Linked DNA regions of Astyanax mexicanus. The main gene of each other region encodes a partner of the protein of the gene in region 4 in a complex. Links are inferred from orthologs where the notes say so. Each region holds a gene or a part of one and is shown on either strand. Other genes may lie near its edges.

Region 1 (7,036 bases), on a different chromosome or scaffold from region 4:
TCTTAGCCCCAGAACTAAAAAAAAGTGTGTTCACTGTTACCCCAGCATTGTAACATAAGGCAAATTAAATAAATTATATTTAATTACTTTAAGTCATGGTACAATGTGTTTGATACAAAACCTGTATCTTAATAATCAGATAATCAGACAGACAGACAAAATAGACTGGGGAAGCTGAACTGGGGGGTGGGGGGCCTTAAACAGCCGGCTTTTTCGTTCCCCCACATGGCTCCATAACAAAGGAAACTTGAGCCGGAAGCTACACAAAAGCCCCTTTTGTTCCTGACTGCATTTAAAGAAGCGCCAAGATAAAAGTCACCATTTTAGTTCTTATTCTGCTAAGTATTTGTACATATGTGCTTGTAAAATAATAATACGTATATGGAAAATATTTGCACATTAAAGATAATACTATAATACACATTATTTTTACCAGAAGTGGCAGAATAACTCCTATTCAGATACTTTGTCATGCATAATCCAATGATTTATGTTAAAACAATTGCTGCACTTTGTTCAATTAAACAGATTTTTACATTCTTTCTTATAAAATGTACAGTACAATCAGTGCTCTTTAATCAGTGATGACTCGATAAACATATTGTTGATACGATAAAAGAATGTATTGAGCGACCCTTTATTTCACTAATTGTATGCATGCATATGTGCTTGGTTTAATAAACATGTGGTTGTTTATTAATATAATAAAGGGGGGTTATTTATGCTTAATTTTGATCTTTGTTTTGTACTAATTCACATTAAAACATCCCTTTAAACAATCTAAGTTTGGACAGGATATGGCTGTATAATGGATAATGCGTCTACAATCTTAATAAAACGTCTGTACATATAATTATGTTTAAAGATGGTTTATGCTTTCCCTTGTTTTGTATTAATTCACCATAATACATAATTTTAAACTATATAAGTGGGATATGATGGGTCTGAATAAGATAAAAGGTGTCTATAATCTTTATAAAAAGGTCTGAACATGGAAATAAGCTCTTTTAAAGGCTCATTTCTTAATTCACGAGCAGCAGCTGGTGGATGTGCGCATGTGCGAGCCTGCAACGTGGTTGAGCTGTAATATGGCTGCCTCCATGCTCAACCATTCTGACCTTTACGATACAAAACACTGCAAAGCTCTTGATAAAAAGCAACCACGCGCTTCTACAAAGTTCGACTCGAAGATTGATAACGATATCTGAGCATGCATTTAGTTTTTAATCCGGTTTTAATAGTGGATACTCCTGTGCAATCCGGGTTATTAGCTGTGTTTACAAATGAAGTGAGTAGATATGATGCTGGTATAGCAGCTTAGATCATTAAAACTAATAAATACGCTGTTTAGCTGAGTGTTTCACTTTATTAAACTACCTAAATCTTAAAATTATCAAGCGTGTTCACGTTATTGTGGCCGCAGGGGCTCGTGCTGGATCTCTAGGTATCTAGGTGAAAGGTCACCTCCTACACAGGCTGCTCACTACACCCTATACACTGCACCCTGCACCCTCAGCCATCTGCTTGGGGATAGTTTTACCAAGATCACTAGAAACCTAGTTATCTGGCTACATCTTTTGTGAATAAACTTAAAAGGTGTATTAAATGGTTAAAACAAAAAAAAAGTAAGGTTATTTCAGGTGAGGGTGATTCCTGCACATACACAAACACACTGAAAACACACTGTGTGTGTATGTGTGTGTGCTAGAGTGTGTGTGTCTGTTTGTGGTGCAATGCAATGCTGGTGGCACTTTAACCCTGAAGGTCAATCATCATTCTGTGAATGACCTTAGCTATAATGGCTGTATCTGAATGCACTATAATACTATGCAAATATGCTTAATGTAGCTTAAATACCAGCTGTTTACAACTAAATATGACTCATTTTAATCAGTAAATGAGAGAGAAGTAAGGCCAGAGTTAGCTAACCTACTTCAAACAGTTACTGTTGTTTTTAGACAGAACAAACTATGTGTAGCTGTTAACCAACAACATTCTCTTAGAAAGCTCTAACATACAGTGTGTGCATTTACTCATTATGTTTTTGTGTTGTGTGTATATATATTTATATATATGTGCTAGTACTACGCACCCAATTTTTTGTTTGTTTGGTTTGTTTCCACTCATCTATACTATACTATTGTTGGGTATTGTTGATGTCACGTGACAATTAAGCTAGTTAATATGATTAAATTTTTTATTTTATTTTATTTAAGCTCGTCTAATTAACACACAGTAGAAGAAATTAAGGTAGCTAGACTACATATATGGTTCTAATCAGCAGACGATGAGAGAACTACCTGACAAAGCTACTGCTGAACCTGCCAATAAACAGCGTAGCTAATTGATTGACATTTGAGTTAATTAATGAATTAGGCTCACAGGTGAGTTAATTGATTGACAGGTAACAAACTAATAAAAGCTGTAGGTGTATAGGAACCTCTGGCAAGTTAAGTAGTTAAGTAAGCAATGAACGCAGTCCACCCACCCAGCACGTCCGCGGACCGGTGGCGGGCGATGAAGCACGCGTCGTCCCCGTAGCACATCCCTTTCTTCAGGATGCCCTTCCTAAAGTCCTTGCCGAAGCCGCAACTGGCCGTGATCAGGCTATAGTCGCGGCCGTCGGTCTGAGACAGTCCACCCAGCACGGCCCTGGCCACGATCCTCCCGTAGGAAAGCACGGACAACATCCCCGCTGTCTCCGCGACGCGCCGCTAACCGAGAGCCCGCGTCCACCGGCAGCCAGCCGCCGGCATAGAGCTCCGGAGCACAAGGTGGAGAGGCAGTCTGTGGAGGAGTCTGCTGCCTGGCTGACCCTCACTCAGCCCGGCTGAGAGACTCACAGCAGCCGCCTGGGAGCCTGGAGGTCTGTCCCCGTATCGTGTTACACCGACTCCGGCTCAGAGAAGTGGAGTCCACCCGCGCCCGTCCTCTACGGTGCTGTCCCGCTTCTGTACTGGTTCTGTCCGGTTCTCCGTTGGGTTTTAAACACTAGCCGGTCTCGCGGTGCTCCCCCACAACCGACATCTTCACGCGCCGCACTCTCGCGCAAACAAAACACCGCCGCGTTCAGGAGCAAAAGTACACGGGACATACGGGTACTCGCGTCACGTGGCTCCAGGCCATCAGAGCGTTTGGGGGCGTGTCAATAAAAAAAAACAAAAACAAAGAAACAATAAAACAATAGTAATATTATTTTAAATAATTTTTCTTTGAAGTTTGTAATATATTACTTTATTACTTTAATTTATAAATGAATACTGGTCATACAGATGTATTAGAGTCTTGCTCTTTGTTTCCTAGGGCCGTCCTGATGAGAGCCAGTTTCATCCTTCTAACGTTTTTGATGGTCGATTTTCGACTGCACTGGAGGATAAAACTTTTTCAGAATTTCTCGAAATTTTTCGGATTGACCGAACTCCATATTATGCAAAGAAATAGTCAAAAAGGGCTATTCACTGTGTACCAACTCTACCTCTTTACAACTGATGCTCTTAAACACATTAAGAGAGCAAGAAGTTCAAGTAATTAACATTTACAAGGCACAGCTGTTAACTGTAAGCCATCAAAAATGTTTGATGTTTACTATTAATTATTAGATTTTTTATTTGCTGATAAAAAGCAAATACACAGAATGTTAAAATTGTGAATATCTAGTGCTCTTTTACAATTACTTTAAAATTAATTATTATTTAATTATAACCATTATTTGTGTCCAGGTTTAGGAGTATTGAGAAAGGGGATGGGGTACTTTTATACAAAACAAAAGTCTCTTATTGTAACTCTATATTTAATAATATATAAATAAGATTTTACATGTTAACGCATAGGTAACGTATAGGTAAGTGTATATGTATACGTTTTTCTGTAATAGATCTCCTTTTTTCCTGGGTTTTAAGGTTTGATTTTTTTGTAATAATAATATGTGTAGCATTTAGCCAAATGAAAATAGTTTTTCATTTTTGTCCATTATATGGAATAAAACATAAAAATTGGCTTTATTACAAAATAAAAGTCCTATTATTCATTTATTTCAGCTTCCTGGAGACGGGCTGCGCTGTGTCGGTTGTTAAGCATGGCTGCGCTGCTCCGGGTATTAATTTTGGCCGGTTTGTTTTGCGGGTTCTGGGCGAAATCTGGCGGATTTAACAGCTCAGTTTTAGACCAGAACCGGACCAGGTTCGGCTGGGATGAGTCTGATAATGTAACGGAGGAGACCGGGGAAGAAAACTACACTTTAGCTCCGGTATCGATGCCCGCAGCGTCTCCAGTCGAGCCCAGCACCGCCTTTCCCGAAACGGAGATTCCAGAACCCACAGCCGAGCCGGACCTAGCCCGGGCCGGCACCGCAGCCCTGCCCTTACCGCTGTCTGGATCCCTACCCGCACCCGTTACCCGAGGTACACACGTATGGGGGAATAAATAGAAGAAAACTAGCTTTTTAGCTAACAGAGAACGTTATGAGAAAGTTTAGCAACGTTTTGAAAAGGTTTCAGGAAAGTTAAGTTAGCCTGTAACGTTTCAGATGTAATATTCCAGGAACGTTCTAATAACGTGTAACATAATAAGTAAATGGTTTGCACCACAACGTGTTAGAACATTTAGCAACGTTTATAAATGTTGAAACGTTGAAAAATAGCATTCCTAAAATATGACTGTAACGTTCAAAAAACGTTATATTAACCAGCATTTTCAGCTGGTTTATCTAGCTAACTAACTGTATTAAACCTTGAGATCTACATACGCAGCCGTAGCCAACTCCGTTCTAACGTCTAAACAACGTTAATGTTGTAAACATAAGCCGACTTCTTTTTAAACAAAGTGATTATAGCAGCTAATTTACGGATCCAAATCCGTAATCAAGACATTGTTCAAGTTTCAGTCCCTGATCTACAACTCCATCCCCAAACGTGTGTGTGTTTCCCAAAGAGTGTAAAAGAGTTTAGAGCTGGGGTGTTAACAACAGTTAGCACCTGTTCGAGCAGGAAAACCTCAGACATTAAAGGAACTGGTCTGATAAAGTGTTAAAGTGAGGGTGTCAGAGCTGTAAATCACCTAAATGTGTGAACTGGTGAACAGTACTGAAGAACAGTAACAGGTGTAAATCAGGGTACTACATAATGACTTAAACAGAATCTGTCTTAAAGGGAAAATCCACCAGTTTTCCTTCTTCTTCGCACAATTCAGTGTTTAAGATAAGTACATAAATAGTTGTAGAAGAATAGCCCATCTTGAATTGGATTTGAAAGAAATGTATAATATATAATTTAGGTTTATTTAACAATGAAGCTTTTCTTTTTAATCTTAATCTGCTGTTGTTGGTTTGGTGCAGTATCAGATCTGTGCCCGTGTGATGTTCAGAGTGATCAGTGTGAGGTGAACTGCTGCTGTGACCCGGACTGCTCTCAGGAACGGCCCCTGTTCACCCGCTGCTCCGTCCAGAAAGTCACGTACGTTAATTTTCTGCTTTGTAGATTAATACTTAAGTTGTCCAAACTATGAGTAAAACTTAATGGAATTATTTAGTAACCCAAAAAGTGTTAAACAATCCAGAATATGTTTTATATTTTACATTCTTCAAAGTAGCACCTCTTGCTTAGATGGCAATTTTGCACATCTCTGCTGGATTTTCTCAGTCAGCTTTATGAGGTAGAGTCACCTAGAATTCAGGCTTTCAGTTAACAGCTGTGCTGAGTTAAGAGTCAAGAGTTAATTACTTGAATTCCTTGCCTCTTAATGTGTTTGAGAGCATCAGATGTAAAGTTGTGAAGAGGTAGAGTTACAGGTATACAGTGAGTAATGTTCTAATCCCTACTATGAGAAGCAAGAACTAAACTAAGTAAAGAAACCAATGAAAAAGGTCATTCAACTGATCTTAAGGAAAAAAAGTATTCCAAGGGCAGTTACTGCAAAGACAGTCAAGTGTTATGATGATTAAATTGACTTTCATCAGGGCCGCCCCAGAAAAGGAAGAGTAAGAGTTTCCTCTGTTGTACAGGATAAGTTCATCAGAGTTACCAGCCTCAGAAACCACAAGTTAACAAACAGCTCCCCAGATAAGAGAATCTAAATGCTTCTTCACAGAGTATTTTGGTTTGTTTAACACTTTTAAGTTACTACATGATTCCTTATGTGTTCCTTCATAGTCTGGATCACTTGAAAAAATAAATATATAAATAAAAACATAGAATGAGAAGATGTGTCCACACTTTTGACTGGTACTGAATAACTGATTATATTTATATGAACTTTGATGTGTGTTTGGTCAGTGGAGACCCCAGACTGTGCACTCAGGATGCAGCTCTGTACTCCCTCCGCACCACAGCAGAGGGGTTTTCAGCAGTGCAGACGTCCGTCCAGCGCCAGATCAACCCTGATGTTTTCTGTATACAGACCGCTAACTGTAAGTACATCTCAACCAACCAGAGACACGGTGTATGGATAACCAGTTACAGAATAGATAGTTGTACTATATACAAAACATGTCAGTTATTGCTTGGTTTAATAGTTTTAAATATATCTTTATTTGATTGATTTGCTAATAAGTCATATGAATTCAAGATCCGTATTAAAAATGATTCTATATTATACAATATGTTACATTACATTGCATTTAGTGGATGCTTTCATCCGAAATGACTTACAAATAATGATGTACATTTAGCAGTAGAAGACATAGAAGTCCAAGGCAAAAAAAAAAAAAAACTTTAGCGGCTTTTGATTAATTCTTGTAGCAACAAAATATAACAATGCCAATTAATTTTAATTATGATTAATAATTTAATAATTTTATAAGTTATTTTGCAACTGATAAAAAAAAAAAGAGCTGGTAACTCTGATTAACTTTTCCTGTACAACAGAGGTCCTGATGAGTGCCAGTTTCACCATTATAACGTTTTTGATGGTCTTTGGGTGACTGCACTTGAGGATTATTCAATGTTCGAACTGAAATGTTTTGGATTGGCTGACGTTCATTATTTATTTATTTATTTATTTTTCTTTACTTAGTTAAGAAGTTCTTGCCATAATATGGCAA
Region 2 (7,440 bases), on a different chromosome or scaffold from region 4:
TGCTTACATAATTTCTGATAACACAAAGATATCATATATTGGCAAATATAACTAGTTGTTACTAGTTAAACACAACCGATTTGATATTTGTCGAATTTGCTCAGTGTTTACTATTGACTAAGTAGAGTCTTAAAATTATCTAAACAAACTTAACCTAAAAAAGGAACATACACAAAAATGATGCAGGCCAGGTTATGAATGTAGGCCATGAAGTACAGAAACATCTATTGTGTCTTTGTTCAGCTGTAGACAGGTTTCATATTTTACCATCTTTTTGAGACAATTATGTATTTTTCAGCTATTTTAATAAAAAACACTGATGTGACGTGACTGCTGTGTTTTCTCATAATGGACAGAACATATTGTGAAGAAATGTATTTATGCTTAATATACTTAAAACATTAGATGCAACCTTTCCATCTTCCATTATTTGTATATCCTTTCTGAATCTAGGCATCTATTTTTATTTTCATATTATATGAAGTAAGACAGACAATGTGTACTTTTTAATATATTTTTAAATAAAAAAATATATACAAATAATTACAAAAAAATACTATGACAAAAATAATTGGTAAAAAAATTGTTAGAGAATGATCCGAAATATTTCCCACCAATGCTATTTATGGTCACTTTGGTTCTTTAAACGTGTGCAGATCTTCAGATTTAGAAGCATTCGTTATGCTCTAAGTTCTTGAATTCCATTAAACTGCCGAAGATGGAAGCGGCTTTCGGTGTTCCTGACCATTGCACGAAGGGCAACAAAACCAGAGAGAGCCTGTGAATGATATTTGGGGTAAAACATCAAACACAAATGAGTAAAAATTAATTAAAAAAAGGATGAATTGAATTAAAGGATGCCCATGAGAGTGCTGCCCATACCTCTGCTAAAATAAATAGAGCGAGAATGATATGCACTCCTCTTTCCAAAGGTTGAATGAGTATAGCTTCATTAAAAAGCAGGAAGAGAGTCAATGGAAACTGAAGAAGGAGACTTAGAAGCCAAAATCCAGCCAGTTCGGGAACCTGCAAAGAGAAACAATGTTTGATTATTACCTGCCAAACAAAAAGCTCCTGCATTTTATTTACTCTCTCCACTAATGCTGTTACATACATTTAGATTTCACATTTTATTTATTGTCTATATGTGAAGAGTAATGTTACACATGTATATAGTTTATATTCAGTACCAGTCAGGAAGTTTGGACACACATCTTATTCAATGTGTTAACTTTCTTTTTATGTTTTTTTTACATTGTAAATTTAACATTGAAGACATTAAAGCTATACAGGAAGATGTGGAGTTATTTTGCAAACAAAAAATGTGAAACAAACCAGAATATATTTTAGGCTACTTTAGTAGTCACAATTATTATTTAGCTTTGAGGATATATTTGGACACTCTTGGTATATTCTCCGTGGCTTCATTAGGTAGTATTACCTGGAATCGTTTTCTCCAGCTCATCCCAAATCACCCATCTCAGTTGGGTTTAGGATAGGGGATTGTGGAGGCCAAACCCCTTTTTTCCACTACATAATTCATTGTGTGTCCCTAAATGCCTTCAACATTAATTTACAATGTATAAAATAAATTTAATAATTCATAAAAAAAATTATGTTCAATGTATGTTGCGTGTATATATATATTTTTTGTATATAGCTATTGTGGTCTTAAGTTTTTTTTAACTTACCTGCACACCTAATGTGATCTGACAATAAACCAGATTTGACATTGATTCTCAATAAAGATGCGTATGGATATTACATTAGAGAAGTCTTTACCTTTTCTTGCAGGTTCCCAGCGTAACCCAGGTAGAGTCTGATACCCTCGATGAGGGTCATTAAAATCAGGACGGTAATTAAGATGAACTTGTAGTAGTCTGGAAGGGCTGGGTACTAAAACAGAATACAAGGTAAGCTACCTTCACTAACTTAGGTTAGTTACTACATACATCCAGGTCAGACAGTTACCAAACTAGCGTTAGTTAACCTAGCTAGATTACTTACTTTGAGTTGCAGCATCACCACTTCACTGATCCACCACAGAGGAAAGAACCATAGGTTGAAGAAAAGGGACATCTGAAGCGGCAAACTGGACACGACTTCTCTGTCTGTATAGTGAATACATGATAAGAGTGGGGAGAACTGAGTGTCTAGTCTACCACATTTAACAGCTAACGTTAGGTTACTACACTGAACTGTAAGCTAGTTAATTAATTAGATAACGCTAGCTAAGCTGGTTTAGCCAATTAAAACACGACAATAAATACACAGTAGCTCATGTGCGTTCAGCTTTGCACGCCAGATAACGTTAGTGAGGTTCATTTTCCTTTTTAGAAGTTTAGTTGCAGCTTCTTTGCCAAAGCTAACGCTAACCTAGCTGATGTTATTGTTTTAGCGGTTAGCTAGTTAGCACGCATGAGATGTAACCCAGCTAGCTCACAGTTGGATATCAGGACAGACTCACTCTGATTCAGGAATTTGACATGATCCTCAGGGGTAAGTTTAGAAAATGTCTGATCCACGAAAACAGTTCTGGAAAAATCCCCCAAACGTCTTCTTATGGGCTCCGGTAGATCCATGATGGAGCACACATCTCAGCCTGACGCTAACGCTAACTGCTGAACATCATCTCCTAGCAACAGCTGTGGGCGTGTTCAGCAGGGAACCGCTGTACTTGCTGTAGCTCTGCAATCAGGGTTGCCAGGTCCGACAAACATATCCAGACAAAAGTCAGTCTAAAACCAATTTACAAATGTTGAGTTTTTTTTACTTTACCAAATTGTAAAGCTCTGGAATATAATCCAATTACTTGTAATCATGTTTCACTACACTCCAAGTCTATTTCACACCAAATGTCTCCTTTAAGGTAGAGATAAAGGTAAAAAAAAACATAAAACAGATTTAAACAATTCCTTTAAAACTCAAGTTCACAGATGAGTTTTCCTTTACTATATTTACTAATATTTAATATATTACATCAATATATTCCATATATTCCATCATTCATGTAGGCAGAGACACTCCCAAAATTTCACACCACTGCATTGACTTTAAGCTGGCACTAAGTAGCCATGGCCAACAGGTCAAAACATAATAAAGTGCATGCTCTACCCTGATTGGTGAGTTTGCTTTGCACATATAAACCAAAGGTAACCAAAGGAAATAGTACAGTGACAAAATACACAGGCTACTTCTCTATTGTCCACCACTGTTCATGAACCTAGTTAGCTTACATACGATGGCTTTTAAAAACCTAAATAAATAAGAACAATAAGATAGAAGAATCTCCTCATAAAAGTCATATTACAAAATAACTTTATTGTAGATTTAAAATGGCTCAGTTACATTAACCAATTCACTAGCACAGTTTTGAGGAAAAAGGAAGCAAAATCCTAAATTATGTATGCCAGTATTAAGTCTTTCATGTTTGTGTGACGCCAGCATCTTGGGGCTTGACCATCATCATGCAGGAGTCAGAGGATCATTTCCAAGGATGCTGATGTTCCAGTGTAATCCACAGTGTCGTAGAATCGGAGACAAGATTTATGCTGCAGGAGCTTCTCAGCCAGGTGACTCTGTCTTACTTCTTTACACAGTTCAGCACTCAGGTCTGTGTACCTGTACAACACAACAAAAAAACAATGTGCAGTATCAACACAATACTGTCAGAATTAGTTGCACAACCATGCTTCTGTGTATCAACCTACAAGTCTACATTTTCTGTCTTAAAACTTGACATACCTTACATACATTTTTATGTTCATGTTTTAGGTAGATCAGATGTGTTAAGGACCCATTTCCCCATTTCATTCACTCGTCATGGTGAGGGCGGAATTTTTGAGTGCAAGGCAGGAATACTTACTAGAGAAGTTGCCAGTGTAACTCAGGGTACTACACACACTCCATTTACTCATATCTAGCTGTAATTTAGAATAGCCTACCCACCTACTGGTATGTTTTTGGGAGATAGGAAAAAACACAGGAGGGTTCATATGGAAAACACAGAGAGACTGGAGCAAGGATTTAACTCCCACAGCCAAACCACTAAAGCTGTATAGCTCATACAGTACCACACTTTTTCAATCCTGCTTAAAAAGATTGCAAAACATACTTTTTGCTTATTTGTCCATGTATGCCAGGTCTACTAAGCTGCATTAATTCTGCTCTAAATTAATTGTTGTTGTGATAATTAGGGCTGTAAAGAACATGCAGAGACCATACGTATCACGATACAGGGGTTACAATTCAGTACATAGATGTATTGTTATACTGTATGCAAGGGGATATATTTGAATTGTTTAAATTAAATAATTTACAATAAATAACATCTGTCATAGATAAAACACTATTATATGTATTAAATCTGAATAAAACAATAAAACAAAACTTTACTTTTTATGCAGTGAGAACAGTGGGATTTAACAACAGAGTACAACACTGCTATCTTTTTGAGACTTTTGTTCATATTTTTGCTAATCCAGGCTCAGCAAATGGTATCACTATGTATCTTTGGTGAAGGGAGCAGGACACATATTTGTGTAAAATCCTGTAATAGTACTACTCAGTTCACATGCTACTACAACTTTAAGTGATGGTTCAGTATCTCATAATGGATTATTCACCTTTAGGTTAAGCCAATGACTAAAAATACTATGTTACTAATGCTGCTTTAAGTAGACCTCCTGATGCATTTCATACCTTATAGGTCAGAATGAACAAACTCTGGTATTGATAATGTGTTTCCAGTGTACACTAAGGGCTCCTATGATACAACAAAATATGAATTTGTAGCCTACCTGCAAGATAATCTCCAAAACAGCAGGGTATTTATGGTCATCAGAATTGCCAAAGTGAAGAAAAATCTCTCCAGATTGCCGTCGCTGAGTGTATTTGGATAGAAGTTCCCTAAAGGCAGAAATGATCAAATGAAAATGATTCTTTATTAGCAGTGGCTGATGAACCATTGCCCCCGAGTTTTTGCTTTGTGTTAACAAAATGCTGAGAAAGCCTTACCCCCAGAAACAAGATAAAAGAACTGAGTCAGAACAGCACCCAGAAAGCATCCTCCTCCATAGAAGAGAGTGAGGAAGTGTAGGGAGATGCCTCTGAGGTTACTAGGAGTCATACAGAAAGAGATGAGGGAGCCTAAAAGTAAAAGGATTAGAAAAAAAGCATGAATTACATGAATCAAGGATATCAGTGACATAGTAGAGATGAGCTGCTTTCAGCTAGACAGTTTGGGTCTATTTATAATAATCTGTGAATCTTTTGGAAATCAGTAATAGGACCTAGTGTTTAATGTTTTGCACATTATTAAAATGCATACTTACATGCTGGTGTGACAAATGCTTCTGCTATACCCAGTAAGACATACTGAGGTGCAAGTTGAAAACAGGCCATTGAGGACACCTGTAGTACTGTTCCTGACAGTGTCTGCTCCACCTGAGAGAAGTCTTTCCTGTGGATCTCAGTAATCCCTGCAGCTAGTGCAGACAGAGCTGCACAGGCATGTCCCGCTGCTGCAAGAAAAGATGTCACAAAGTAGAGCTTACTACACTCCATACCTGTCACACTTACTTATAATTCATTGGACATGCATACTTATGAATTTGGCTGGAGAAGGAGGTGTTTTCTTCAAAGACTGATAACAGGTGCCAAAAAATTCCAGTAGTGGTGCTAAAATTAGCAATGGCAGGATACTGATCACATTCATAGCTGCTATAGGAAGGAGGAAACCATTGAAGTTCAGATTTGAATGCATGGTCTGGAGGTAGTATCCTGATGGAATCTGTGAAGATGCAAATTATGTTATTGGTTATACAACTGTGGAATGGACATCTGCGCTCAGAGATAATACCTAAACAGAGATAATATGAATTATAATAATAATAATAATAATAATAATAATAATTGAAGATTAAATGTTCATCATTACATTATGTATAAGATCAGTTTATGTACAAGTGGTGGAAACGATATGTCTGAATGTTTGTGGACACCCCTTCTGCAGCTATTGCTGACACAAATGTACAAATGGACATATATAAACTGCTTGTCTAGTCCCTGAGTGCTACCAATAGTATAGGAATTTTTCCAAAGCAGCTAAATGTGAATCTATTGGCACTATGCCTAATGCCAGTAGTGGACTGGAGGGGTATAAGTGCAATCAAATCCTCACAGCAATGCTCCAAAATCTAATAGATTTCCCTGGACAGGAGCAGGGGTTTTAGTACTTTTGTCCACTTATTTTGTATTTTATAGGTGCAATTATAGGAAGTTTAGGTCAAATCGTACAAACACCTTTTTATTGTGTAACAAACATTAACAGAAAATTTTGTTTCGCATATATACTTACTTGGGTTATACAAGCCCGGTAGAGCAGCTGCAGTCCAAAAAGAGGAAAAAGCTTAACCAGGATCTTAACATTTTCAACACTGGTCTCACTGTAGCGTCCTCCATTGTTCTCCTTGGCACGGTCCAGCCAATTATTCACGTCTCCACTCAAATGACGATAATGGAGGCAGGACATTTTTAAGGAGTTTAGGAACACACCCAGTGTGGTCAGCAACAAACTGGCTGTGTGTTTTCCCACACATGAAAGGTCAATGGAATGAAGGAAGAGAAGAAGACACAATGATCAAATACTGTTATGTGAAATTCAGTGTCATCTATATATAGAGGGTACACATATGATATCACAGTTGGGGAGAGTCTGTGTGATTATGCCCAGTGGCAGTATACTGAGTGGCAGCATTAGCGTTCATTGTAAATGCTGTGAAGACACAAAATGGGAAAGAGCCCTTGTGTGATTAAATATAAAAACTTGTTGAAATCAATGTACATAACAATGTAAGGAAACCTAATTTCTAGTTTCTAATTGGTCTGTTGCTCTAGAGCCCAACGGCCTTCAATTTAAACACATGACCACTTGTTTCATAGCTGGTTTGGCTGTTTCAGTCTGACCAAACGACATGTTCTGGCAGAAACAGGACTCCAATGAATACCATCTATTGCATATAATTTATTGCAGAAGTTTTGATCTATGCAGAATTATATAAACAGCACATTTATTTTATTTGTGTATATTTGTATATCTGTTTATCTGTATGTGTTTGTTAGTCCATTACCTTTCTTTGGATGAAAGATGAGATTGTTGCGTGCCATGTGTATCGCAACAAGAGCCAATAGAACAGAGGTGAAGGGAATGAGAAAGCCCAGGTTTTTACCCACAGACTGCTGAATATAGGAGATCCCCAGGAACACAACTGTAGAATTGAGATTCACAAGCCAGTAGAGCCTGTGGTTATAAATACCATCAGTTTTACATCAATAGCATAACCTTCCAGAGATGTACAAGCATTTTGATTTGCTCTTAATTATCTATAGTTAATGATTTAATGTCTTACCAATTAAAAAAGGACAGTATCTGGTGTTGGT
Region 3 (6,980 bases), on a different chromosome or scaffold from region 4:
CTGAAGGTCAAACAGCTACTTAGAGCGCTTCAGGGTTGTGAATTGAGTCTTCAGGACGTTAGCCAGTCTACAGCCACTTCATACAGAGTATGGAAACTGATTTGTCCATAAACATCAGAAAAACAAACACATGACTAATGCTTTCATCTATATCCTTAAAGATCATCATCAGGATCATTTCTGTCTGCACTTACTCTAAGATGTAAATAAACAGAGCAACTCAGCAGGACAGCGATACAGAACAAATCACCAGGGAAAGTCTTAGTACTCAGCTAGAATGCATCAGTTAAAGAATATCGACCAATCGACACTTTTATTTGCTGACACCACCCTTTTAATCAATGCATTCAGCTGAGCTCTGGTGCAGATAAATATACACCTACTATAGGCATTGTGCCTAATGACAGGTATAGGTATTTGTTCTGTGGAATGATGGTGCTCCATTCAATACTTTTGGGATGAGTAAGGGAGTATATCTATGGGTGAATAGATGTTTCTCTCTTAGAAATGCCCTCATCATTTCCACATTAATGCTAATTAGTACAGGCGTCTGTGGTCTGGTGTAACAGAGCTGGGGATCTGGTGAAACATAGGACGTCCCAGCCATACCCTCCTCAAAACAGCCTCTGGGCACATGGCATTTCCTTGACATTTGATGCAGTGTGTGGACAGTTGGTGGATGTTTTGGTGACACTGGAAAATGTCAGCTGGTTAGAAATGTCAAATTAAATGGATCTGGCTCTCTAATGGTGTTGAGATTTGGGGTATGGAAGTAGGTCTGCAGACCCCATTATCATCAGGTCATTTCTGGGCACTCTACAACTTCTGACCACGTCTTACATGAATCTCCCCCACAGGTTTGAGAGGAGGGGGAAGGAGTAATGAACTGCACTTCAAAGCCACTCTGATGAGGAAAGAGGTGAGAAAAAAATCCCACCCCACAGAAATGACTCTCGCTGCCTTTATCCTGTATCTAAAAAAAGGTAGATGGAGGTTCCGCAGAGGACTTTTAAGTAGTGCAGACAAGTCTGTTGCTATAAATAGTGGCTGAGAGTCAAAGAAGCTGGTCCCAGAGAGGGACGGTTGGCGAAAGACGAGGAGAGCTCAAACTGGGACGCGCTTGAGCCACACAGTGACGATCAAGCCTGGTTCGCTTACTGTACACTGTTAAAATTATAAGATCTTTGAGATACTTTTTGGGGTTCTTCCATTTGGAAGTGTGGAGGAACCCCCTTAAGGTGCTTTGAGGAACCTTCAAGAAAAGGTTTTTAGAGAAAGCCTTTCTAAAAGGCTTAAATTACCTTAAGGGTTTCCTCCCAAATATTCCACCCAAATAAGAGTATAGACTGTAGTTGGGTGCTGGTACAGTGTTTAGGTAACACATAAACCCAAGACTCAAAAATTATTGATTTTTGCAGCACGGTAACATAAACACTGTCTCTCTGAACCTGCCTCTGTCTCTGTTTCTCTTTTACTCAGGTTTTGAAGCAGCACATGCTCTGTTTGTCTGGCAGACAGAGAAAAGCAGCTTTTAAAGAAGCCTGTGCAGTGGGTGATCGATACAGAGAGTGAACAGGCAAAGAAATATGTTTTTGATGTTGTTTATCTCTAGGTATGAGATAAGCCACTCTCCACTATTATTGTGGAATCACCGAGCTTATTGACATCCTCATATCTTCTTTTTGCCAGATCACCAACAACAAGGCATTCAAATTGTTGTAAGATTTCATAAGTGGAGTTATGAATATAAATTAATTTTAGGAGATTGACCCACACCCTTACTCCTCCCACTCTCCACCCTCTATAAACCCTCACTTCCTCTCTACCTGGATGTCGAACAACTTCACACTCAACTCCTCCCCATCTTCCTCCTTCTTTCCTTCAAGTGTTGAACAGCTCCAAGTGTCACTTTTGGCATCTCCAAGTGTTGTTTTGGGCATTTCCAAGTGTCCTTTTGGGGATCTCCAAGTGTCCCTTTGGGCATCTTCGAGTGTCCCTTTGGGCGTCTCCATGTGTCCCTTTGGACATTTCCAAGTGTCATGTTGGACATCTCTCAGTGTCTTTTTGGGCATCTCCAAATGTACTTTTGGGCATCTCCAAGTGTCCTTTTGGGCATCTCCAAGTGTCCCTTTGGGCATCTCCAAGTGTCCCTTTGGGCATCTCCAAGAGTAATTTGGGCATTTCCAAAAGTCTTTTTAGATATCTACAAATGTCCTTTTGGACATCTCCAAGTGTCCCTTTGGGCATCTCCAAGTGTCTGTTTGGGGATCTCCAAGTGTTTTTTTTGGGCATCTCCAAGTGTTTTTTTGGGCATCTCCAAGTGTCTTTTTGGGCATCTCCAAGTGTCCTTTTGGCATCTCTGAATGTCTTTTTGAGTATCTCCAACAGACATTTTGGCATCTCCAAGTGTCCGAGTGTCTTTTTACGCATCTGTCCTTTTGGCCATTTCCAAGTTTCCTTTGTGCATATCCAAGTGTTGTTTTGGGCATCTCCAAGTGTCCCTTTGGGCATCTCCAAGTGTCTTTTGGGCATCTCCAAGCGTCTTTTGGGCATCTCCAAGCGTCTTTTTGGGCATCTCCAAGTGTCCCTTTGGGCATCTCCAAGTGTCTTTTGGGCATCTCCAAGCGTCTTTTGGGCATCTCCAAGTGTCTTTTGGGCATCTCCAAGCGTCTTTTTGGGCATCTCCAAGTGTCCCTTTGGGCATCTCCAAGTTTCCTTTGGGCATCTCCAAGTGTCCCTTTGGGCATCTCCAAGTGTCCATTTGAGCATCTCCAAGTGTCCTTTTGGGCATCTCCAAGTTTTCTTTTGGGCATCTCCAAGTGTCCCTTTGGGCATCTCCAAGTGTCTTTTGGGCATCTCCAAGCGTCTTTTTGGGCATCTCCAAGTGTCTTTTGGGCATCTCCAAGCGTCTTTTTGGGCATCTCCAAGTGTCCCTTTGGGCATCTCCAAGTTTCCTTTGGGCATCTCCAAGTTTTCTTTTGGGCATCTCCAAGTGTCCCTTTGGGCATCTCCAAGTGTCCTTTTGGGCATCTCCAAGTTTTCTTTTGGGCATCTCCAAGTGTCCCTTTGGGCATCTCCAAGTGTCTTTTGGGCATCTCCAAGCGTCTTTTTGGGCATCTCCAAGTGTCCCTTTGGGCATCTCCAAGTGTCTTTTTGGGCATCTCCAAGTGTCTTTTTGGGCATCTCCAAGTGTCTTTTGGGCATCTCCAAGCGTCTTTTTGGGCATCTCCAAGTGTCCCTTTGGGCATCTCCAAGTGTCTTTTTGGGCATCTCCAAGTGTCTTTTTGGGCATCTCCAAGCGTCTTTTTGGGCATCTCCAAGTGTCCCTTTGGGCATCTCCAAGTTTCCTTTGGGCATCTCCAAGTGTCCCTTTGGGCATCTCCAAGTGTCCATTTGAGCATCTCCAAGTGTCCTTTTGGGCATCTCCAAGTTTTCTTTTGGGCATCTCCAAGTGTCCCTTTGGGCATCTCCAAGTGTCTTTTTGGGCATATCCAAGTGTCTCTTTGGGGATCTCCAAGTGTCTCTTTGGGCATCTCTAAATGTCACTTTGGGCATCTCCAAGTGTCTTTTTGGGCATCTCTAAATGTTGTTTTGGGCATCTCCAAGTGTCTTTTTGAGCATCTCCAAGTGAGGTTTTTTTTTTAAATAAGAAAGGTAAAAATAAAACAAGGATGTATGAAGATCAAAAACAAGTTAATTGAGAAATACATTCAACACTGAATTACTAAACTAATTTATTGTTAAAATATAGAAAATTATTATATTATATAGTGTAATATTATTATATAATATTATTATATTATATTTTACTATATATTAATACATGTTGCGCATCAAAGGGTTAAAATAGGATCAGCATAAATTATGTTACTGTAATTTTGTTGTCAAATATCTCCATCTAGTGGCAGGACAGATGCATAAATCAAATCGCGTTTCATCTAGATTGGACCTCACAGGCCCCAGTAGTAAAGCCGTCGCTACTTAGCGGCTGGAGCGGCGTTAGCAACCAGCAGCCATTTCTGTAGTTATGTAAACAGCGGAGGAGAGAGGATCAGTTAATTTAATGAAACTAGGGATATATTAATATTTACTGTTTTATTAATGATCTGAACATGACCTCCCCAAACCCCTCCGTGTTCCTGCTGATGATCAGCGGGCAGATCGAGGGCGCGCAGGTAAATCTGAACTGAAAATAACGGATCTATAAATAGTGATTATCTAGTGATTAAACTCAGTTAAATAAAGGTAATAAAGTAACTAAAGCTGCTGCTGTTTATGTTTTAATCTCTTCATTTATTTCTAGTTTCCAGAATACGATGATTTATACTGTAAATACTGTTTTGTTTACGGACACGACTGGGCTCCAACTTCAGTAAGTAAAATCCAGATTTATCACTCTGTGCTTTTCTTTTTATCACGCAGCCCCTAAGGTGACATCATGTTGAAAACAAATGAACGACTTGTTAAGGCGTGGGAATGAGATCCTAATGATTGGCCACAACTGCGTGGGAGTAAGATAATTAAGTTAATTTAAGTTGTGGCTATTTAATTAACACGTACCACATTTTAGCTTCGTAGCCACGGATTAGGATCTCATTCCCACGCCTTAATAAGTTGTGGCCACGTCTTTTTTACATGATGTCACCAAGGGCTCCGTTTTATTATTTCCCCTCTCCTTTCTTAAATCCAGAATGTTAGCTATATTCATGTTGAATATTTAGCTAATGTTAATGTACACTACCAATGCAGCATACACTGTGCAGGTCAAGAGCTGTTTGAGCATCAAAGGCCAGCTCAGACTATGCCAAATCAGCTACCAGCAAAAGCTGGTCTTGAGCTGGAATCTTTGTTTCTATATGCTTGTCTTTATATTAATTTATTTATTGATGAAATAATTAAATACCTTTACCTTATTGCAGGGCTTAGAGGAGGGAATATCTCAGATAACATCGAAGGGCAGAGGTTCCACTCAGAGTCTGGTGTGGAACTTTCCTCTCGACATCACTTTCAAAAGCACCAACCCGTTTGGATGTATGTATTTCTATGTGTTACTAAATATAAGGATACAATTTGAAGTGTTTATTTGTTATATGTTGAACTTTAGAAATGAAAAAGGTTTCCAAGTATAGTTGGAATATACCTTTGCTTCTGTGCACAACCTGGATTTGAAATAAAGCAGTCAAGATGTTATTGAAGTGTAGATCCACTTGGATAATTTTTTACATAGTTCTTCCATTTCCCAGTTCGTCTCATTATGTAATTGGACCCACGTATATGTTTATATATATTTATCAGCTCCACTGATCATATAGAGCACCTTATAGTTATACAATTACTGTATTCCTTCCACAGGACCACCACAGAGGTCTTGCATCTGGGCTGCAATTGAAAAAAGGAAGACCAGTGAGTTTTTGGCTTTCTAGGTCACATGATATTGCGTTCAGTAGCTCCTCCATGTCCACTTGCTGTGGTGTTTACTTGGTTCTCCATGGAAACACGTGGCCAAAGTGTAATCATGGGTGCTTGGCAGTGGACAAATAGCTATTTTATTAAACGCGAGGAGACGAAACTCGGAGATGTGCGTCCAAATGGAACTAAAATTAGTGAAAAACAGCAGGTAATTCAGCCTGTAATTTTCTCAGAGGACGTCTGAGAAAAACACATGGTCGTTCCAGTCGGGAATAAAATCACAGAGGACCCCCAAAAAGGAGAAAATGAAGATCCCCATAAGGACAGCAGCGAGTGGAAATGGAGGAGCTACTGAACGTGATATCACGTGACCGAGAAGGCCTAAAAACCCAATCGTCCTCCTGTTTTTTCAATTGCAGTCCTGGCGCAAGAGTTTTATTACTGAATAGAAGGACAGTGAGTGAACACAGTGTTTAAAAACTCCAGCAGCACTGCTGTATCTGATTCACCCATACCAGCACAACATACAACAACCTCATACACCACCACCATGACCCACCACCCAAATGATACCTGCTCTGTGGTGGTCCTATGGTGACCTTCCGTTTTGACAAATTTTCAATTTCCATTTATTCTGTATATTGAAAAACAAGAATTTTTGTTATTTTAGTTGCACAATGTCTCTTGCATGCTCTTGTAATACATGCGACTGAGCTCCATTGTAACTGTGTTGATTTTATAGGGCCTCAGATTGTGGTTAGTGTCTATGGACCGGACACGTTTGGCAATGATGTTGTCAGAGGTTATGGAGCAGTACACATTCCCTTTACCCCAGGAAAGTAAGTGGGATGTTCATATTGGAACGTAATGCATGAATAGAGGAGTTTCATCTGTTTGCTTTATGTCTGTTCTGTTTAATTCACATATTAATAAACTCTTCCTGCAGACACACACGGACCATTCCAATGTTTGTTCCTGAATCCACGTCTAGACTGCAGAAATTCACAAGGTAGTAAAGCAACCAACAGTCTGATTACGATTTACATGAACTCTAGACATAAATTAAACACCATCTAAACTACCATGAATTAAACTATCATGTTTTTTGCAATACAAGGTGCACTTTAAATTCTTTAATTTTCCCCAAAATTCGGTGCATCTTATGTATAAATTCAGTTTGTAAGGAACAGTAAAGCCACTCCACTGAAGTGCAGCGTTTTAACAGATTTTCAGTGAAGTTTCTTCAGCACAGAGTCTGAAGCAGTATTAGCATTAGCAGCTAACTGCAGCACTAGCCCTTTTGCCGTTCAAAAGTGTGTATATGAGAATGTTTACCGTGTTAAAACAAGCTACGTGGGACAAACTGTTAGCTAATAGCACCCTGGCTTACTGGATCACTCAGGGTTTCTCAGTGTAGTGCTATTGGGTGGCATTTATTAGCGCTTAACGCTGCTAACTGTTGCTAGCACAGCTGCTAACCATGGCTAGCTCTGCTTCTGACTGCGCTGTTGAAAATATTGGAAATGTAAGCTTACAGTAAATAAATGGAAGCGCTTTACCTACCTAAATAA
Region 4 (7,151 bases):
ATTACATTTATTAGTTTATAGTTCATAAACTGTGAACTGCATTCATATTCTTAACATGTTTAATGCTACTAAAATGATGCAACTAAATCAGCTTCCTACAGTTGTAAGTTATCTTAATGTTCCCAAATCTTACTTGATGTGAATAAATATCTGTGTTTAACAAAAAAATATATATTCCTGTTGCAGGATGATGATGATGAAACAATCTCTGCTATATCATTTGATTAAACATGGTAATGTGTGTGACTGTCCGATAACAGAATGTGACTGGTGATCAGGAATCTGATGAGGAACCATCCATCTCCAAAGCTCAGCTTGGAACAGTGAGAATGCTTATGTCTCAACAAATATCAAAACCATTCTGGACACAAAGCTATTTATTTGAGCATAACATGGTATTTTCGTCTCTTTCTTTCAAGATGGCTGTTAAAGATTTATACTAGGTTCACCTAAAACAAAACAGACAAGACTGGAAATTGAGTTGCTAGAATATACATTAAAGGTGGGAGTAGTTGCTGTGATTGTATATTTGTTTTTATCAAGAATAAGGACAAAATCAGAAAATAAATAAATCGAAAACATAGGCAAACCCTGATGAAATGTACTGTATAGTGCAGACTCTCGAAATATCCTTGCATCATGTACAGAGCCTGGCCATTTGGCTTCAAAATTAGTAATAATGTTGGTAGCATCACATACACAGGAAATTTGGCAGTGTTAAATCAACACTGTTAGTGTTAAATCCACACTAAGAAGTGTTGATTTAACACTAATAAGTGTTTATTTAACACTAACAGTGTTGATTTAACACTAACAGTGTTGATTTAACACTAACAGTGTTGATTTAACACTGCCAAATTTCCTGTGTATGGTCTTAATGGAGGAGAAAATAAGTTTTTATAATGTATTAAATATAAGTCCTTTTTGTTTTTTAAAAAGTAGTAAATTTATGATCAGTACTTGTATATTAATGCTGTGGAAGGATTTTCTGTTTACATAATCTCCTTCATTTTCGGCAGGGGCTTTAATTTGAATGTGGGTTCCATCCATGCATCCAATGACTCCTAAATTACAAAATTTAAATATATAATAAATATAAATATAAAATTTTGCAGAGCTATTTATCTTTCACTTCCGATTTGTTTGATAATTTTGTAATCTTTGTTATAAAGACAAACCTGCAATTCTGTGGAATTCCTCTTTAATGTTCATTAAAGGCTTATGCCCAGGGAACACCACAAAACTGGACAACAACTGTTTTAAAGCTAGGCATACTTTGCTGCACTGCAGGCTGCACTTTGCTGCCTGCACTGTACAAAAAAAGCCCATTGGCAAAGAAACTGAGAGCACTGCATAAAGTCTGCAAAGATGTGAGGGCTGATCCACGATGCGTGATATTTTAAATGTGAGGCTTTAAAATATTGTTTAGGTATGAAATTGACTGCGAGGAAAAACGGTAACGTTTGAGGAGAAACTGAAAACACGTCTAATCTGGGTGAAATTACTCGTTCACAACAGAGAGCTCTGTGAATAATTTGCGCTTCAATATCAACTGGATCCGTTTGTATAAGAAAAGTGGGCGTAACCCTGCGTTCGGAGTAAGTTAACCTGCCAGCGAGCAGGTTAGCTTCAGAACGCAAGTTGCTACAGTAACTGACTCAGGTTCTCTCTTAGCTCTCTTTCTGGAACAGAAAACCCTGAGTTTCCGTGAACTCTAAGTTTACTAACTTATCCGGTTTTGTCACTTAACCCCCTTTCTGGAATACCCCTCTGGTTCCATCTTTTACAGCATGTTTTTTTCAGACCCAGAAGGAGCAAAGCAGCCCAAGATCATCCCACTACCACCACCATGTTTTACATATAACGTTAGTATGATTTTTCTGTATGGTCTTGTTCTGCAATTATGCGTTAGTTTTATGCCAGATGTAATGGGACAAACACTCACAATTTCCACTTTTGTCACATCATTTCGAAATAATATTTACCCAAAGTCCTAGGGATCATCAAGATGTTTTTGACAAATGTGAGACAGGCCACATTGTTTTTTTTTTTATGCCCATAGACTGTGTCTAGCTGGACAGAGCATCTTCTCTTAAAAGTGACCACAGGTCAGGCGCCCCCTGCTGTTCGGTTGCAGAAAGCTGTGTTTGTGTGGCAAACAGACAACTTTCAATCACATTTTTTAATATACTGTAATTCTACCTCATTTATTTAAATGCAGCAGCTAGTGTAACCTCTGCTTATATTCTATTTTTTATATCCCCACAGAATTCGTTTTAAAAAACGTTATTCAGCTCTATTCAAAAAGGTGTGGTTATTGTAAAGGGGCTGGGTTACACCTAGCCGGGGTGGAACCAATGACTGTATGCATGGAACCAGCCTGTGACCTACTGTGTATAGCTAGGTAGGTTGGTCACTCCTGGGAAGGTTCACCAGTGTTCCATGTTTTCTTCATTAGTAAATAATAGCTCTCACTGTGGTTCACTGGAGTCCCAAATCCTTAGAAATGACTTTATAACCTTTTCTTAAATGATAGATGTCAATGACTCTTGATATATTTTTTTCCAGATCTGAGCATAATGTGCGTTTTTTTAAGATATTTGGGTGGGGGCAAACAGCTAGATTGGTTTTGAAATCATAATTTAAAATATGTTTTTTATATTTACTCAGATTATCTTTGTATGATGTTAATGTTTGTTCAATAATCTTAAAAAAATAAAGTATGATAGAAATGCAAAAACAAAAAAAAAATCTGTAAAGAAAGCAAATACTTTTCATGCCACTGTATATCTAAACAAAATTTTAACATTGAGGATAGATGACATACCGTCTACAATCACTGAAACTTTACTGTTTACGGTATGCTAAGAGTTTAACGTTACCTGCAGAATAATATCACAGATGGTTTCCTCCTCTTCGCTTCCCAGAAGATCAGGATCAACAGTCATCACTGTTTTCCAGTCTGTAGTTGGAGGCATCTTGCGGTTTGTTTGGTGTCCAAAATCTGTCCACAGCCTCCAAACAGCCTTTATACTACAACACCAGTCACTTTAAACATGTAAAACTGGGGCTACTGTGGAGGATCCGGAAACAGTGTTAAATACTACCTGCTGAACCGTTGCCTGCAGGTAAACTGGTTTAATTTACGGTACTTTAGCTGGCATTTCAGTTAATGAAACGGCTGGCTATCTGGACAACAATGCGCCCGAGAAGAGAGTTTAAAGAAGATCAACGACAAAAAAACAAAAACAAAAAAAAAAAACAAGCTGACTTTTAGTAGCTTATCTCGGTTTTAGCTTTCTATTTAACTTGCTAACCAGGCTAATGTAACCTAACCTAACGTTACTGGATGAGAAAACAGAGTTGAATATATAACTTAGTTATAACTTAGATAAGTTATCAGTTAAGTTTACCATCTAAGACAGTCCAATAATATGGCCAGCTGTAGCCTCTGACGTCTGAAATTCTCCAAAAAGCTAAATATTTTACCCATTTTAGCCTTGCATTTTATGGCTGTACTAGCTAGTTAGTTGGCGTTAGCACTGTTAGCATTAGCAGGCTGGCTAGTCCCGTTTTCTGTGCTGTTGCTAGGCTACCGCTCAGTGGCGCTCCGCGGGCGGGTCGGGGACTACTAATCTACAGATCACGCGGATCGGTGGATGGCGCTGCTGTTCTTCAACTGCAGAAGACAATGATTTAAGATCAGCAAACGTTCTGGAGTGTAAAGGTTTTCATAATAAAAGTCCTCTAAATATTATTAATTAAAATAACAATTCATTCTATAAAAAAACGTCATGATATTTGAAATTACGGGCACGTGTTTTTAAATAATATATTCTTTGTAAATAAATAAAGAAATAAGGTCAGAATATGAATTCATGTTCCTCATCTGAACTCTTAAGCATTGCGACCCGGAACTTGTAAAAAGCCCATTAGCATTAAAAAAAATCTCGACTGCTGTTCCCGAATAAAGGCTGCTCTTGGCTTAAAACGCAAAAACACACAAACACACACGCTCTGTTTACGGTTTATCTCATCAAAGCCATGACAAGGTGGGTCTGTAACTTGTATAATGTGTTTTATAGATCTCATATGCTGCTGTTAGGAGCAAGGATTAGCTAGCTTCCTTTTTCAGCACCGTTAGCAGCAGTAGCTGTATCGTAGCTAATACAGTAACAGAAGATAATACAGTAACAGAAGCTGATTCAGTAACAGAGGCTACAGTAAGCTTTGCTGCACAGCTTTTCTACAGAAGGGTTGAGTTGTAGAGGTGGGTAACCCAGGTCCAGAAAGTAAAAATACAACCCAGGGTTTGCCCTGGGCGGCTCTGCTACAAAACTCTGGGTTGGATTTTACTTTCTGGACCTGGGTTACCCACCTCTAGTGAGTTGTGATCTGGAGCTGTTTTGATTAAGCAGGTGGTGCGTTAGTGGGTAATGTAGTTAAGGTAGATAGCTGCTAAAAAGAATGGCAGCATTAGGGAAGCTATTAGTGCAGCGACCAGCTGTGCCCTTATTGATACAAGGTATCCAAGACCCAAGGCAGCAAAGCAGCCCCAAGCCTTGATCCTCCCTTCACCATTATTGAAATGAGTTTTAGGTGTTGGAGCTAAACCATTTCAGTTTTTCTTAACATCTTTTCCCAGCCTCTATGTGGATCCATGTCTTTAACATTGCCTTTGAATTTTTATTTGTAACATGTATTTTGAGATATTCTGGAAGTTGTCTGTGTCGATAAATAGTTCACAATAAGAACTCTTTAAAAAGAACATGCTTTGTGTGCCTTTAGTCATGGGAATAAGCATTAGCAAACATTTTTTGATGTTATATTTGAAAATGAGATTTTTTTTGTGAACCATAGCTTTAATGGCATGACTGATATTAACAGTAATCTGAATCTGAACATTAATCTCTGATGTGGAATTGGATTTTTTTTTTTACAGTGCTCAATGAGGACTCACGTTAGTGATGGCTGTTGTGTTGTGGAAGGAGGCTTTCCTGTTGACTGGACTGGTGTTGGGGTGCTTCTGGAACAGTCTGCTTTGTGGTTTTGTGTTTGATGATGTTTCTGCTATTTTGGATAACAAGGACCTTCGTCCCTCGACGCCTATTCAGAACCTCTTCCTCAATGATTTTTGGGGGACGCCCATGTCAGAGGTAGGGTCCTACAGTGCACTGTGACACTGAGTTACATGATGCAGTTCAGCCATGCTGTTCAGGAATTTATTTAAAGGTCTCATTCTATTGTTTTTTTTCATTACTTTTAAATTGTCTAGTCTCTAGTATGAATAACAGCACTACAGCAGAGAATGATACCTGGCTTTGCCCCACAGTCAATTTTACAGCTTTAAAACTCAAAGAATAATTTTTTTTCAGAGATACAGCCTTAGTTGTAAAGATACAGCACTGAGTGCTGTATAAAGTTAACCCTTAAACTTTACTTAACGTCAGACAAGCGGCCCCGCAGCTCAAAGAAATGTCATCAATGCCAATTCTGAACATTATTTTTTTACTAGCTACTGCAGACAATGGAGGTTGAAGAATTGTTTCATATGCAGCATTCATATACAACTCAGAGAGACTTATAGTATTTTACGAAGAACAAGAAAAAGTGGATTTTAGCGGAAGGCGACTTTTAGTAATGACAAAAAAAATTAACAAATGGTACTGGACAGTACTGATCACATTTCACATCTGAATATTTTGCAGATAACAGTGTGACTGTGTCGGGTGTAAGCAGTATTGCAATAATTTACACACTAAATAACTATATTGGAATGGATGTTACAGTTGGGATTACTTGGATTTCTGCATAAATGGGTCATTAAATGTGTTTTAATCCTTATGTTAGTCACAACAATATAAAAACACAGTCTGCTTAAACTAATATCACAAAAATATATATATGGTTGCATGGTTTTATTGAACACAACAAGTATGTGAATTTTTGGATTTAATAACTGGTTGACCCGCCTTTGGCAGCAGAAACCTCAACCAAACGTTTCCTGTAGTTGCAGATTAGACCTGCTCAATGGTCAGCAGGAATTTTGGATCATTCCTCTTCACAAAACTGTTTCAGTTCAGCAATATTCTTGGGATATCTGCTGTGAAAAACGTTAGCATGTGCCAGAGATTTCTGTAAGTCTTCAGCTAAAACTCTAGGATTCTTTTTCACCTCATTGATCTTTCTGCGTGTACATTTACTTGCTGGCTGTACCTGTAGTCAAGGCACATTGCTATTGCGACCAGTCTTCCTCTGGAGCAAATCTGACAATGGCGCTAGTTAATATAGATGATTTATAGGAGCAGGGTTTTTCAATTCTTATGAGGATGGATGAATATGACTTTGCCGTCTTTCTGTGCAGGAGAGGAGCCATAAATCTTACAGACCACTCACTGTCCTCACTTTCCGCCTCAACTACCTGCTAAGTCAACTGACTCCTCTGTCCTACCACTTGCTCAATGTGCTTCTCCATGCGGCTGTGTGTGTGCTCTTCCTTCGCTTCTGCCGACTGCTGCTGGACCGCAAGACCAGCCTGGTGGCCGCACTCTTGTTTGCCGTCCACCCTGTCCACACAGAGGCTGTAAGTAAACAAAATAATATATGTGTGTACAGTATGTACAAAATCAAGCATCTTTATAAACATTTTTGAAGAGCTCTTAGATATTCCACGGTCGACTGAGTGGTATTATTAAGAAGTGAATGTATTTGAGATGTTATAAAGAGATGTTATGAAAGCACTAATAAAAGTAGTTTGTAGGTGCCCCAAGTGTTTTATACATATAGTTTTTAGTTCTTAAGGTAGGTAGGTGGATGGATGGATGGATGGATGGATGGTCCTGAAGCCCTGCTTGTTTATGATGTTCTCAGCTCACCCACGTTGAATGTTAATCTACATGGATTTCTCTTTTAAAAAAAATGTATGGGTGAACGAAGCGCTTCCATTGATTAACAGTAAGCTTAGAGATCTGGTATTTTGTCCAAAGTTGAGTGCCAGCCCCAGTTAGGAGCATAGCCAGCCCCAGTTAGGAGCATAGCCAGCCAGGGTTAGCAGTTTAATCAGCCCCGGTTAGCAGTGTAAGCCAGCTCTGGTTAGCAGCATAGCCAGCCCCTGTTAGCACTGTTAGCCAGCCACGTTTAGCAGTGTTAAC

The links.
Region 1: cep290 (region 4) and tctn1 share a complex: the UniProt entries of both Homo sapiens proteins name them as parts of the tectonic-like complex. The link is inferred for Astyanax mexicanus from reciprocal best matches to the Homo sapiens genes CEP290 and TCTN1.
Region 2: cep290 (region 4) and tmem17 share a complex: the UniProt entries of both Homo sapiens proteins name them as parts of the tectonic-like complex. The link is inferred for Astyanax mexicanus from reciprocal best matches to the Homo sapiens genes CEP290 and TMEM17.
Region 3: cep290 (region 4) and b9d1 share a complex: the UniProt entries of both Homo sapiens proteins name them as parts of the tectonic-like complex. The link is inferred for Astyanax mexicanus from reciprocal best matches to the Homo sapiens genes CEP290 and B9D1.

What each region holds. Positions count from the first base shown.
Region 1 is NC_064427.1:20,757,921-20,764,956, forward strand, and holds the start of tctn1 (tectonic-1), read left to right. Parts: upstream 1-4,029; 5' UTR 4,030-4,075; coding exon 4,076-4,400; intron 4,401-5,332; coding exon 5,333-5,450; intron 5,451-6,269; coding exon 6,270-6,403; intron 6,404-7,036. Other genes in the region: pptc7b (protein phosphatase PTC7 homolog), read right to left, coding at 2,489-2,690. UniProt on the Homo sapiens protein: Component of the tectonic-like complex, a complex localized at the transition zone of primary cilia and acting as a barrier that prevents diffusion of transmembrane proteins between the cilia and plasma membranes.
Region 2 is NC_064409.1:54,423,350-54,430,789, forward strand, and holds tmem17 (transmembrane protein 17B), read right to left. Parts: upstream 2,651-7,440; 5' UTR 2,583-2,650; coding exon 2,468-2,582; intron 2,112-2,467; coding exon 2,008-2,111; intron 1,897-2,007; coding exon 1,783-1,896; intron 1,027-1,782; coding exon 883-1,026; intron 779-882; coding exon 680-778; 3' UTR 501-679; downstream 1-500. Other genes in the region: slc15a5 (solute carrier family 15 member 5), read right to left, coding at 3,477-3,621, 4,800-4,908, 5,017-5,148, 5,334-5,522, 5,605-5,791, 6,359-6,579, 7,131-7,300, 7,410-7,440. UniProt on the Homo sapiens protein: Transmembrane component of the tectonic-like complex, a complex localized at the transition zone of primary cilia and acting as a barrier that prevents diffusion of transmembrane proteins between the cilia and plasma membranes.
Region 3 is NC_064410.1:53,741,981-53,748,960, reverse strand, and holds the start of b9d1 (B9 domain-containing protein 1), read left to right. Parts: upstream 1-3,960; 5' UTR 3,961-4,112; coding exon 4,113-4,175; intron 4,176-4,303; coding exon 4,304-4,372; intron 4,373-4,919; coding exon 4,920-5,031; intron 5,032-6,151; coding exon 6,152-6,248; intron 6,249-6,355; coding exon 6,356-6,418; intron 6,419-6,980. UniProt on the Homo sapiens protein: Component of the tectonic-like complex, a complex localized at the transition zone of primary cilia and acting as a barrier that prevents diffusion of transmembrane proteins between the cilia and plasma membranes.
Region 4 is NC_064417.1:17,363,107-17,370,257, forward strand, and holds the start of cep290 (centrosomal protein of 290 kDa), read right to left. Parts: upstream 3,017-7,151; 5' UTR 2,979-3,016; coding exon 2,883-2,978; intron 1-2,882. Other genes in the region: protein O-mannosyl-transferase TMTC3, read left to right, coding at 4,968-5,156, 6,365-6,583. UniProt on the Homo sapiens protein: Involved in early and late steps in cilia formation. Its association with CCP110 is required for inhibition of primary cilia formation by CCP110.